3 linked regions of the Arabidopsis thaliana genome follow. The protein of the gene in region 1 interacts with the protein of each later gene in a pairwise test. Each region holds a gene or a part of one and is shown in the gene's direction. Other genes may lie near its edges. The genes, in order: AT1G06170, MYB32 and DYT1.

Region 1 (4,254 bases):
AATCGATGACTCGGCTTCACGGCTGTGTAGGCATCGCCATCGCCACACATTCCTTTCGCTCACCGGGTCTTATTCTTTTTCTCAAGATTTTCGTAATCTGAATAAAAAAATAAAAATAAAAACTTCACGAGGATAGAAAATGAAAAGAGAAAACATACAATCTATATAATCTTTCCAAGTGGCCGAAGAAAAGGGTGATGAATCCTCTCGTCAATAAGATCAGTAGGCCCAAAAGAGATATTTCAAATTGAGTCGCATCTGTCGGGTAAGTTAAAGCAATAAATAACCAGCCACAGGTAGGGTTTAGGCCCTCTCATCTGGCTCTAGATGACGAAACGTGTTAAAACGCCTACTTCTTGTTGAGGCCCAAAATAAGCCTCATAGGAGAGAAACCAAAAACGTAACTGTCACGATTACGAAACACCCCTTAATTCCATTTTGCAAATGCATCCCCTCCTCACCTTTGTTTGAGATGTTTTTATATACAGCTCAGCTCGATAACCTAACTCGACACCCTCTAAACAAAAAGTTACAAAACGAATATAATAATGTCTTCGGCTGATCCGGTTTAACTGAATCCCAATTCCCAAATTGTAACATACATAACATGAACTTAACCGGACAAAACTGGTTAGCAGAAATTTTCAAGTGAGTTTACGGAAACACCCTTTTCCGCATAGCTTTTGTGTCACGTGGGACCCAGCTAATATTCTTCACAAAAAATCCGCTACCTTGCCTTGGAAACATATTTTGCATGACCCAACAAACATGAAATTAAGAAATACTTTACTTTACAAGGAAATAATACAAATAAAGCCTTTTTATCTTATTTATAATATCATCGATCATTGTATATCAGAATTCAGAAGTCCTAGATAAAATGTTAAAAGTTGAATCTTGTTTGACCTAATAGAAAAGATTCCACTGACAAATTTCTATGTCTATGACTATGATCAATTTTATTTCCTCTATATGTAAAAAAAAACTCAACTTCACATAATATTTTTTGAATGTATCGTTTCTTATTTATTTTTTAAAAAACTCTGCTATTTTTCCAAAAGACAATGCGAAAAAATCTTTGAACGTGAAAGTGAAATTAAGAAAATCTCTATTATAGTCGAAGGATTCAAATCAAGCGTAATATTACCGAGAAAATATAATCAATAGACAGAAATACCCCTAAAGATCATATACCAAAACGGCAAAACCTGAGAGAATCGTGACGGGACCCACGCGAAGAGAGACACGTCATGGAACTTACAGACTGTAACTAACCACCGGCCTGTCTTGCCACAAACAAAAATTTCATGATCCAACCAAAACCCTCGTTTCTAAAAAGGATGTAACTTAAAAAAAAAAATCTCTAAAAGATGCAACTTATAAAGAAAAAGAACTCAAATTTGTAACTTAGGTCATAAAATTACTATTTCTTTTACCAATAAGGTAACCAAATATTTCAATTCAGTAAGATGTATCAAAGTAGGTATTGTCACACATAAAAAAAATCTGAACTTTAACCAAAGTCCAGTCCAGAGTACCACCATTAATTGTTATTGATAAAAAAAAAACTTTAGTTTTCAATTTTTGAATATTACGGTACGAACAAAAAAAAACACTAGCGTTTTGAGAAAATAAAAAATATATTGAAAGGAAAAAAATGTTAGTTGTTGAAATTAAACTTTTGTTCCCCGTTAGACCACAAATAAATAACAGACGTATTTTATTAATACAAAAAAAAAAAGTTAAATGTGTCATCTTCCACTCTTTTTATTTGTTACTCTCAAATTGCAAACGTATAGGCATTTCAAAAAGAGAGACAGAGAGAGAAAAAGAAAGAGTTGTTAATGTTAAGTCTCTTCTTGGCGTGAATTCGGAAAAAGTTCTTCGGAGAATCATCATCAGCCAAGTCGGTAACAATATACCCTTCTCTTACTCTTTTATTCCTAATAACCTGATCATTAGATATACATTACAAGAATTCATCTAAGCTTAGACGATTTTTAAGTTGGTTAGAACAGATTTGTTCAAGATTAGGTTGCAGTTTTCAATATATAATCTAGCAAATCAAAACTGTGTCAATGTTTTCTGATTTTGAAACCATCTTTCTTAGCCCTTTGGACCGGTTTTCATGGGAGGAGGAGGCATGTTTGAAGAAATTGGGTGTTTTGATCCAAATGCTCCGGCAGAAATGACTGCTGAGAGCAGTTTCTCTCCGTCCGAGCCACCACCGACGATCACGGTCATCGGTAGCAACAGTAACAGCAACTGCAGTCTAGAAGATCTCTCTGCATTCCACCTCAGCCCACAAGACTCTTCTCTACCTGCCTCAGCCTCAGCTTATGCTCATCAGCTTCACATTAATGCTACTCCTAATTGTGATCATCAATTCCAGAGTTCAATGCACCAAACCCTCCAAGATCCATCGTATGCGCAACAGTCGAATCATTGGGACAATGGTTACCAAGATTTTGTGAATTTGGGTCCTAATCATACCACTCCTGACCTACTCAGTCTCTTGCAATTGCCAAGATCCTCACTTCCACCTTTCGCAAACCCTAGCATTCAAGACATTATCATGACAACATCTTCCTCTGTCGCCGCCTATGACCCGCTCTTCCATCTGAATTTTCCTCTGCAGCCTCCTAATGGGAGTTTCATGGGAGTGGATCAAGATCAAACTGAGACTAACCAAGGAGTGAACTTGATGTATGATGAAGAAAACAACAACCTCGACGATGGTCTTAACCGTAAAGGCAGAGGATCGAAAAAGCGTAAAATTTTCCCTACAGAACGCGAGAGAAGAGTTCACTTCAAAGACCGGTTTGGTGACTTAAAGAATCTAATTCCAAATCCCACCAAGGTTTACACTTACTTAAATACTAACTTCTTCTTCAAGTAAGAAATCTTCAGAAACTAATTAAACCCTTTTTTCTTATATCTCTAGAATGATAGAGCATCAATCGTCGGAGAAGCGATAGATTACATCAAAGAGTTGCTAAGGACGATCGATGAGTTCAAGCTGCTAGTGGAAAAGAAGAGAGTGAAACAGAGGAACAGAGAAGGAGATGATGTTGTTGATGAGAACTTCAAGGCTCAAAGCGAAGTAGTAGAACAATGTTTGATCAATAAGAAGAACAATGCCTTGAGATGCTCATGGCTCAAGAGGAAATCGAAATTCACTGATGTCGATGTACGTATCATAGACGATGAAGTTACCATCAAGATCGTGCAGAAGAAGAAAATCAATTGTTTGTTGTTCGTATCCAAAGTCGTTGACCAACTTGAGCTTGATCTTCACCATGTAGCTGGTGCACAAATCGGAGAGCACCACAGTTTCTTGTTCAACGCCAAGGTTTGTCATAAAATCTCAATTTAATCCATAGTCAGACACTATTAGACTAACTAACGAATTGTGATATAACAGATTAGTGAAGGATCTAGTGTTTATGCAAGTGCCATAGCAGATAGAGTAATGGAAGTGTTGAAGAAACAATACATGGAAGCTCTTTCGGCGAATAATGGTTATCACTGTTACTCTAGTGATTAAAGCGTTTTCATCTAGCTGGCTTATTACTTTGAATATGGATAATTAATAATCACATTAGTTATATTTTCGTATTATTGTTCTTAGCTTGTAGCTATGCCTCTGTTTTTACTTTTTCCTTGTTTTGGTTTAATCACATATTCCAATCATATCCCTCGAAACTTCTTAGATTGACTTTCTTGATTTTATATGTGAGAGTTCCATCTTTTCCATAATCTAAAACTGTTGTTGTTCTTAACTGCTTAACATATGTCTCGTTGAACTTATTGTTGACTCTTGGTCGTCGGACCAACAGCTAAATAGAGCTGTGCGTTTCGGCTCATAGTTAGTTTTTGGTTGGGCCTTTTCTGGTAAAGCCCAATAGTTTTGTTAGTGTAGCCCAACCAATAAGAAAAATGATTGCTTCGTGTGAGAAAACATCAAAAACATTCTTTTTAAATTATTATTTTTATCAAAATAACATTTAGATAGACATACTGAAACAGATTGTTTTGCCCCAACAAAAAAAAAAAACATAAACGGATGGGTAATAAATATAAAATAAACAAGGAAAACATCAGCAATGACGTGTATATTAATCTGATCTAATAAAACAAAAATCAAAATAATATGATTGGATCGTACATTTTACATTTGTCATTCAAGGTGGATAACAAATACGTCTAGACGGGTAGAACACGTAGTCCTCCAATTTAACACTCTCTTGCTAT
Region 2 (4,097 bases), on another chromosome or scaffold:
AATAGCTTTATTCAAGTTGACATAAAAGAATTGTTGTTACGTAAAAGAAGTGTACTGTATTTTAACAGAATGTGAAATCACCTAACAATAACTTATATAAGAAACTAAAAGAAAGAAACGCATGTCTTCTAAATTTGGCAAGAACGAAGGTTTTGTAACTTGTAAGTAGTTTAAATAAATAAACCATACATTTTTAATAATTAGGAAATATATGTTACATGTTGCACTTTGTATACATTCTAAAAGTCGTATAATGTACCTATTTTTTTAAGATTTGTTTGGTGTGTGTGTAGATAACAAATCACATGTCAATTCTATCCCATTTCTATTTTCTTCGTTATTAAATATACAAATATGTCGGTAGGAGTTCAGAGTAAATGTACACCATGAAATCTACCAAACTCTTTTAAGATTGTCTTTCAGGTATCAAACAAACTTTCACCAATAAAGCTTTTTCCCTTTTCCAAATAAAGAACTCCAAACAAGAATAAAAACCACAATCATTATTCGATATGTTTTTATCGATACTTATTTCAAAATATCCCCTTACCTATTTACAAAAGCATTTCACGAATGTTTTTCTTAGAGTCGTCGTATTTTCATATATACTGATATTAGCTTAATTAGCTCGTGATGACAGCAAAATTCTTGAATATTTTGTAGGCCATGGTCTTTGTAACTTGTCAAGAACATAGATACGTCGGATAAATTCATAGATATCAATTCAAATGATAAGCTAGCTTACGAAAAGCGTTTCTCAAGAAACTATGATTTTTTTCTAAGAATTAGTTGGTCGTTACGATAAATAAGAAACCTTGAATTGATGGAAAAGAAGATAAGGAATTAATTAAGAGATTGGTAAAATGGTAGTTGAGAAAGTAAAAAGGTCACGTGTTAGGGCAAATCATTAATGGAAGAAGGAGAAAGCAGGTAGAAATGCACTCTCCATTTTCATTACATTACAAACTCCACGTGAGGTTTCACCGATTGTAGGAACTCCTGATTTTGTGTTAATTACTCACAAGTAATTATCATATAGCGCGTAGCTAAATATTAGTATAGGATGTAGGTTTTACTTATATAATGCTATATCTCACTACTTTGGTGAAGAGAAAATGGATATTAAAATTTAAACGGTTGATACATTATCTGAATAGTTCTTATATATACGAAACGATTTGTTGAGATATGTTTTAACACTTCTTAAAGGAAGTAGGATAAAGTGGAAGGTCACGAACCACTCCCCATATTGCAGCCAAATCTACACCAAACCGTACCCAAAAATGAAATTAACTTTCCCTCAAAACCAACCTTGTTTGTGTCTTCTAGATTAATCCTCCAAACTTTTGATTAACCAAAAAAATTATCAAACTAACATGTTCTCCTTTTTTCTTTAGAAATTCTAACGAATTTATCTTTATACTGATTTGAATATACTTAATTTGGTCATTTGGATGCCCTTTACAACCTCCTTACCAAACTCACTATGGCAAATATATACTATTTTCCATTGTAACATAAATGTCCATAATTTGAATTAAATTCGTTGCAGTACGAAACCATCCAACTTTGTCCAAAAACAAAATCCTTATAACTATTTACTTTAATGTAAATATATCCTCTACTTTTGTTTTTACAACCCTAGCTCAAACAAATTTATTATTTGCGATATAAAATCATATCGAACAAACTCGATGATTTTTTTTTTCTTACGTTATTAATGAAACTAAAATATAGAAAAAAACAAGATGAACCAAATTTTCACCTATCTAACTACTTAAATATAATATGATTAAATTTGGTAAAGTTTGAAAAGTTTCTTTAGGAAATGTGAAATATTGATCACAGTTTCTATTGCTAAAATCACCAACAAAACGCATGTCGCCATTCATAATTATGGTTTCACACCTACAACTAGGCTAATAAGTAAATAAGTAGACAACTAGACTCAGGTTTGAAAAAACCATAAAAGCCATATAGCGTTTTCTCATTGAAACTGCGAACACGATCGTGTGAATGTTGCAGTTTCTAGTTTTGATACAAACAAACAAAAACACAATTTAATCTTAGATTAAAAAGAAAAAAGAGAACGGAGCCCACTAGCCACTCCTTCAAACGTGTCTTACCAACTCTCTTCTAGAAACAAATTAGGCTTCACCTTCCTCTTCCAACCTCTCTCTCTCTCTCTCTTTCTCAAACCGTCTCTCCATAAAGCCCTAATTTCTTCATCACAAGAATCAGAAGAAGAAAGATGGGAAGGTCTCCTTGCTGTGAGAAAGACCACACAAACAAAGGAGCTTGGACTAAGGAAGAAGACGATAAGCTCATCTCTTACATCAAAGCTCACGGTGAAGGTTGTTGGCGTTCTCTTCCTAGATCCGCCGGTCTTCAACGTTGCGGAAAAAGCTGTCGTCTCCGATGGATTAACTATCTCCGACCTGATCTCAAGAGGGGTAACTTCACCCTCGAAGAAGATGATCTCATCATCAAACTACATAGCCTTCTCGGTAACAAGTGAGTCACAAAACAACTCCTCTGTTTTTTTTACTATCCTCTGTTATGTTAAAAAGCTCTGTTTTTTAAACTCTGTTTTTTTTTTCTTCTATCAGGTGGTCTCTTATTGCGACGAGATTACCAGGAAGAACAGATAACGAGATTAAGAATTACTGGAACACACATGTTAAGAGGAAGCTATTAAGAAAAGGGATTGATCCGGCGACTCATCGACCTATCAACGAGACCAAAACTTCTCAAGATTCGTCTGATTCTAGTAAAACAGAGGACCCTCTTGTCAAGATTCTCTCTTTTGGTCCTCAGCTGGAGAAAATAGCAAATTTCGGGGACGAGAGAATTCAAAAGAGAGTTGAGTACTCAGTTGTTGAAGAAAGATGTCTGGACTTGAATCTTGAGCTTAGGATCAGTCCACCATGGCAAGACAAGCTCCATGATGAGAGGAACCTAAGGTTTGGGAGAGTGAAGTATAGGTGCAGTGCGTGCCGTTTTGGATTCGGGAACGGCAAGGAGTGTAGCTGTAATAATGTGAAATGTCAAACAGAGGACAGTAGTAGCAGCAGTTATTCTTCAACCGACATTAGTAGTAGCATTGGTTATGACTTCTTGGGTCTAAACAACACTAGGGTTTTGGATTTTAGCACTTTGGAAATGAAATGAAATGAAATACTATATTAATCAATTTATAGCTGTGAATTGTGATATAAAAGCTATTAACAGACTCGTTCATGGTTCTCAACTTTTCTAATAACTAGTAATTTTATTCATATCATAGTTGTTAGGATCTGTCGTCATATTTGATAATCTACTAAAAAGATGCGAAAATGTTCGCCATTTGTAAGTGTCGCATGGGTGTAATGCTTTGCTGACAAGACATATGCATTCAAATTCGATCCTTGGTATATTTCTAGAATTTTACTCGATAATCCAACCAATGTTTGACAAATGTATGTCGATGGTTATTCCCAAGAGATTGGACATATCAATGAAGTGGATAAGCTGTGTAAGGATGAGAAGCGTGAGAACGATTGAAAGTGTACATGTTTTCTATTCATTGCAACCTTTTGGCATATTTCGTTTGATTATTTTTAGTACTAATTCAAAGCATTCACTGTGTTGGTAAAATGTCTTTATCACATTAATGTGTTGTTCACTATATTAAACAAAAGTCACTCACCTTATTTCCAAAACTATACAAATATATACATATAAGAACTTAACTAGTGTGGTTTGGTTTTTTCCAAATGTTTGTTTATGTAAAACAACGGACATCAACCTAAAACTTTGGAGTTTAGTTTAGTATCAGGCTAGTGGGCATAATTAGGTTCTTCTACATGTGATAGTGTTAAAGATACGAAATTTCAAGAAATGTATATTGAGACATATATCAAAGATTGAACGATATCAAAATAGATATATGAGTTATATTGCTTTGACCTACTTGATGGATATTTTCATATATAATAAAGTGCAAAATGTAAACTCAAGATTAGGATAACCTATATGAGCAACAAAATATGGAGAGGAATTCTGTAAACAGTCCGAATTAGCTTTCAATGTATAGTTTGTACTTAAATTTTGGTGAC
Region 3 (3,004 bases), on another chromosome or scaffold:
TGTCCTGACGTTTGTGAAAGAAGATTGGGAAATGGCAAGCGCATTGGCGACTACAACTATCAACAAGGCGGCGGGGCTGATCGTGGCACGAAGTGGTGATTATCAAAGTGATATTGTCTATAATCAACCATTCATCTACGTAGACTATGAAGTCGGAGCTAAGATTCTACGATACATCCGCTCGTCAAGGTATACTATCCTTTATTTTATATTTTTTGTGATTGATCATCCTTCCGAGTCACATAGAGTATGTAAAACTGATCATCTTCTTATGGCTTGCGGTCTCTTCAGTTCTCCCACGATTAAAATTAGTACTGGTAAAACGCTCGTAGGACGTCCTATTGCGACTCAAGTTTGCGGATTCTCATCTAGAGGGCCTAATGGACTCTCTCCTGCCATTCTCAAGGTTCTTTCCCTAAACAGTGTTTCAAAATCTTGTCTGTCGTTTCCAATTTAAGGATCACCTGTTAATGATGGAAATTTCTTTGGGTTTATAAATGATGCAGCCTGATATAGCAGCCCCTGGTGTGACGATTTTAGGAGCTACATCTCAAGCCTACCCCGATTCTTTCGGCGGTTATTTTCTAGGCACAGGGACATCCTATGCCACTCCCGTTGTTGCGGGGCTCGTCGTACTACTCAAAGCTTTACACCCTGACTGGTCTCCTGCTGCGCTAAAATCTGCTATTATGACTACAGGTTCTTGAAAATGGAAAACCACTTTCTTCTCCTCACCAGAAAACCACCATTCGTTAATTTAATCTTACCAGAGTTTCTTCTCTTGTTATTATAGCATGGAAGACTGATCCATCCGGGGAACCAATCTTTGCGGAGGGAGAACCACGGAAACTGGCTGATCCATTTGACTACGGTGCAGGACTCGTGAACGCGGAAAGAGCCAAAGATCCAGGACTAGTTTATGACATGAACATCGACGATTACATTCACTATTTCTGCGCCACTGGTTACAACGATACATCAATCACTATAATCACGGGAAAACCCACAAAATGCTCGTCTCCATTACCGTCTATCCTCGATCTTAACTATCCCGCCATCACGATTCCCGACCTTGAAGAAGAAGTGACCGTCACAAGAACGGTGACTAACGTTGGACCTGTGGACTCAGTTTACAGAGCCGTGGTCGAGCCTCCGCGAGGTGTGGAGATTGTTGTTGAACCAGAGACTCTAGTGTTCTGTTCGAACACGAAGAAACTTGGGTTTAAAGTTAGGGTTTCGTCGAGTCATAAGAGTAACACTGGTTTTTTCTTTGGTAGTTTCACTTGGACTGATGGGACTCGAAATGTTACCATTCCTTTGTCTGTAAGGATTCGTGTTTTGAACCCTTGAATAAGAAGATTCCTCAATTCGTCATAAATTGTTTTTTCTCTCTATAATGAAAACAAAAATTGTTATTTTAGTCTCTGTATTTGACTCTAACTGAAATCACATTCACTTAATAACAAACTGAGACTAAGATTCTCTCTTTTATTCTCTCTCCACTAACAGACTTCTATCTACATGAGAAGCAACTATATAACTCATGTCTTTTACCACCATTACATAAATAAGAATATAAACACTTTTGTCTGAAAAATTATCAAAGAAGAAGAAATAAATGGGTGGAGGAAGCAGATTTCAAGAACCAGTGAGGATGAGCCGTAGGAAACAAGTAACAAAAGAGAAGGAAGAAGATGAAAACTTCAAATCTCCAAATCTTGAAGCAGAGAGACGTAGAAGAGAGAAGCTTCATTGTCGGCTTATGGCTCTGCGATCTCATGTCCCCATTGTCACCAACGTAAGTCCCAAATCTCGATTATTATTTTATGGGTATTTTGGTGATGATTGTTGTTGTTTTTGTTTCGTTTTCAGATGACTAAAGCAAGTATTGTTGAAGATGCGATTACTTACATAGGAGAGCTTCAAAACAATGTTAAGAATCTCTTAGAGACATTTCATGAAATGGAAGAAGCTCCTCCTGAGATTGATGAAGAACAAACGGATCCAATGATAAAACCTGAAGTTGAAACTAGTGATCTTAACGAAGAGATGAAGAAACTCGGAATCGAGGTTTTTAAAATTTCTCTAATCGATTTTTGATTCATTTTCTTTATCTTTCTTGATGATTTTTTATTTTTGGGACAGGAGAATGTGCAATTGTGTAAGATTGGGGAGAGGAAGTTTTGGTTAAAGATCATAACAGAGAAGAGAGATGGGATCTTTACTAAATTCATGGAGGTTATGAGATTTCTCGGATTCGAGATTATCGATATTAGTCTAACAACTTCAAATGGAGCAATTCTTATTAGTGCCTCTGTTCAGACACAGGAACTCTGTGATGTTGAACAGACAAAAGATTTTCTTTTGGAAGTTATGAGAAGCAATCCATAAGTATTAATTATATACATCTTGGAAATTTCTTGATCTAATAACATTTCCATTGGTTTTTATTACATTGTTGTTCCATTTTAAATATGATATGATTCAGATGAAAAAGAGTTTGTGTTACAAGCCAATGAGCTTCTTCTTGTCTTCATATATGTTGCTGCAAAATGTTCATGATCCTCTGTTTGAGGTCAAAGAAAGAAAACACTAGATATTATCTCTAGGATCCGAGCAATGGGGGTTTCTTTTTAAAATGGGCTTAGAATGAATTAGCTCTTAAATGGGCCATTCTCAAGTTGAGCCCATTTAATTTCAACCATCCAAATGGTGAGTAGTGAATAGTGATGTTCATTTGTGTAAGGTTGGAAGTTGGTAGAAACCTAAGTTTTTTTATTCAAATATCAAAACTATTCAATAGAGCCAAAATCAAAAGACATTTTCCTAACCTATTAACTATTTTTTTATAAAAATAATAATATACCTTTATCATCTCTGACTTTCCCTACTCCACGACATATTTGATTAACAATATAAAATAATTTATAGTTTCCACTCTCAATGAAATAAAACGATGGACCGTTTCCTCATGTCAAATGAATCAAATCAACAATCTCTATAT

What was found.
Region 2: the proteins of AT1G06170 (region 1) and MYB32 interact in binary tests that used the Arabidopsis thaliana proteins (3 or more experiments, as listed by UniProt).
Region 3: the proteins of AT1G06170 (region 1) and DYT1 interact in a two-hybrid assay, tested with the Arabidopsis thaliana proteins (one study listed by BioGRID).

What each region holds. Positions count from the first base shown.
Region 1 is NC_003070.9:1,884,439-1,888,692, reverse strand, and holds AT1G06170 (basic helix-loop-helix (bHLH) DNA-binding superfamily protein), read left to right. Parts: upstream 1-1,788; 5' UTR 1,789-1,906; intron 1,907-1,968; exon of another isoform or gene 1,969-2,110; 5' UTR 2,111-2,128; coding exon 2,129-2,860; intron 2,861-2,944; coding exon 2,945-3,352; intron 3,353-3,424; coding exon 3,425-3,547; 3' UTR 3,548-3,702; downstream 3,703-4,254.
Region 2 is NC_003075.7:16,660,444-16,664,540, reverse strand, and holds MYB32 (myb domain protein 32), read left to right. Parts: upstream 1-1,991; 5' UTR 1,992-2,251; coding exon 2,252-2,514; intron 2,515-2,609; coding exon 2,610-3,171; 3' UTR 3,172-3,440; downstream 3,441-4,097.
Region 3 is NC_003075.7:11,348,304-11,351,307, forward strand, and holds DYT1 (basic helix-loop-helix (bHLH) DNA-binding superfamily protein), read left to right. Parts: upstream 1-1,618; coding exon 1,619-1,798; intron 1,799-1,872; coding exon 1,873-2,070; intron 2,071-2,145; coding exon 2,146-2,391; downstream 2,392-3,004. UniProt on the Arabidopsis thaliana protein: Transcription factor. Involved in the control of tapetum development. Required for male fertility and pollen differentiation, especially during callose deposition.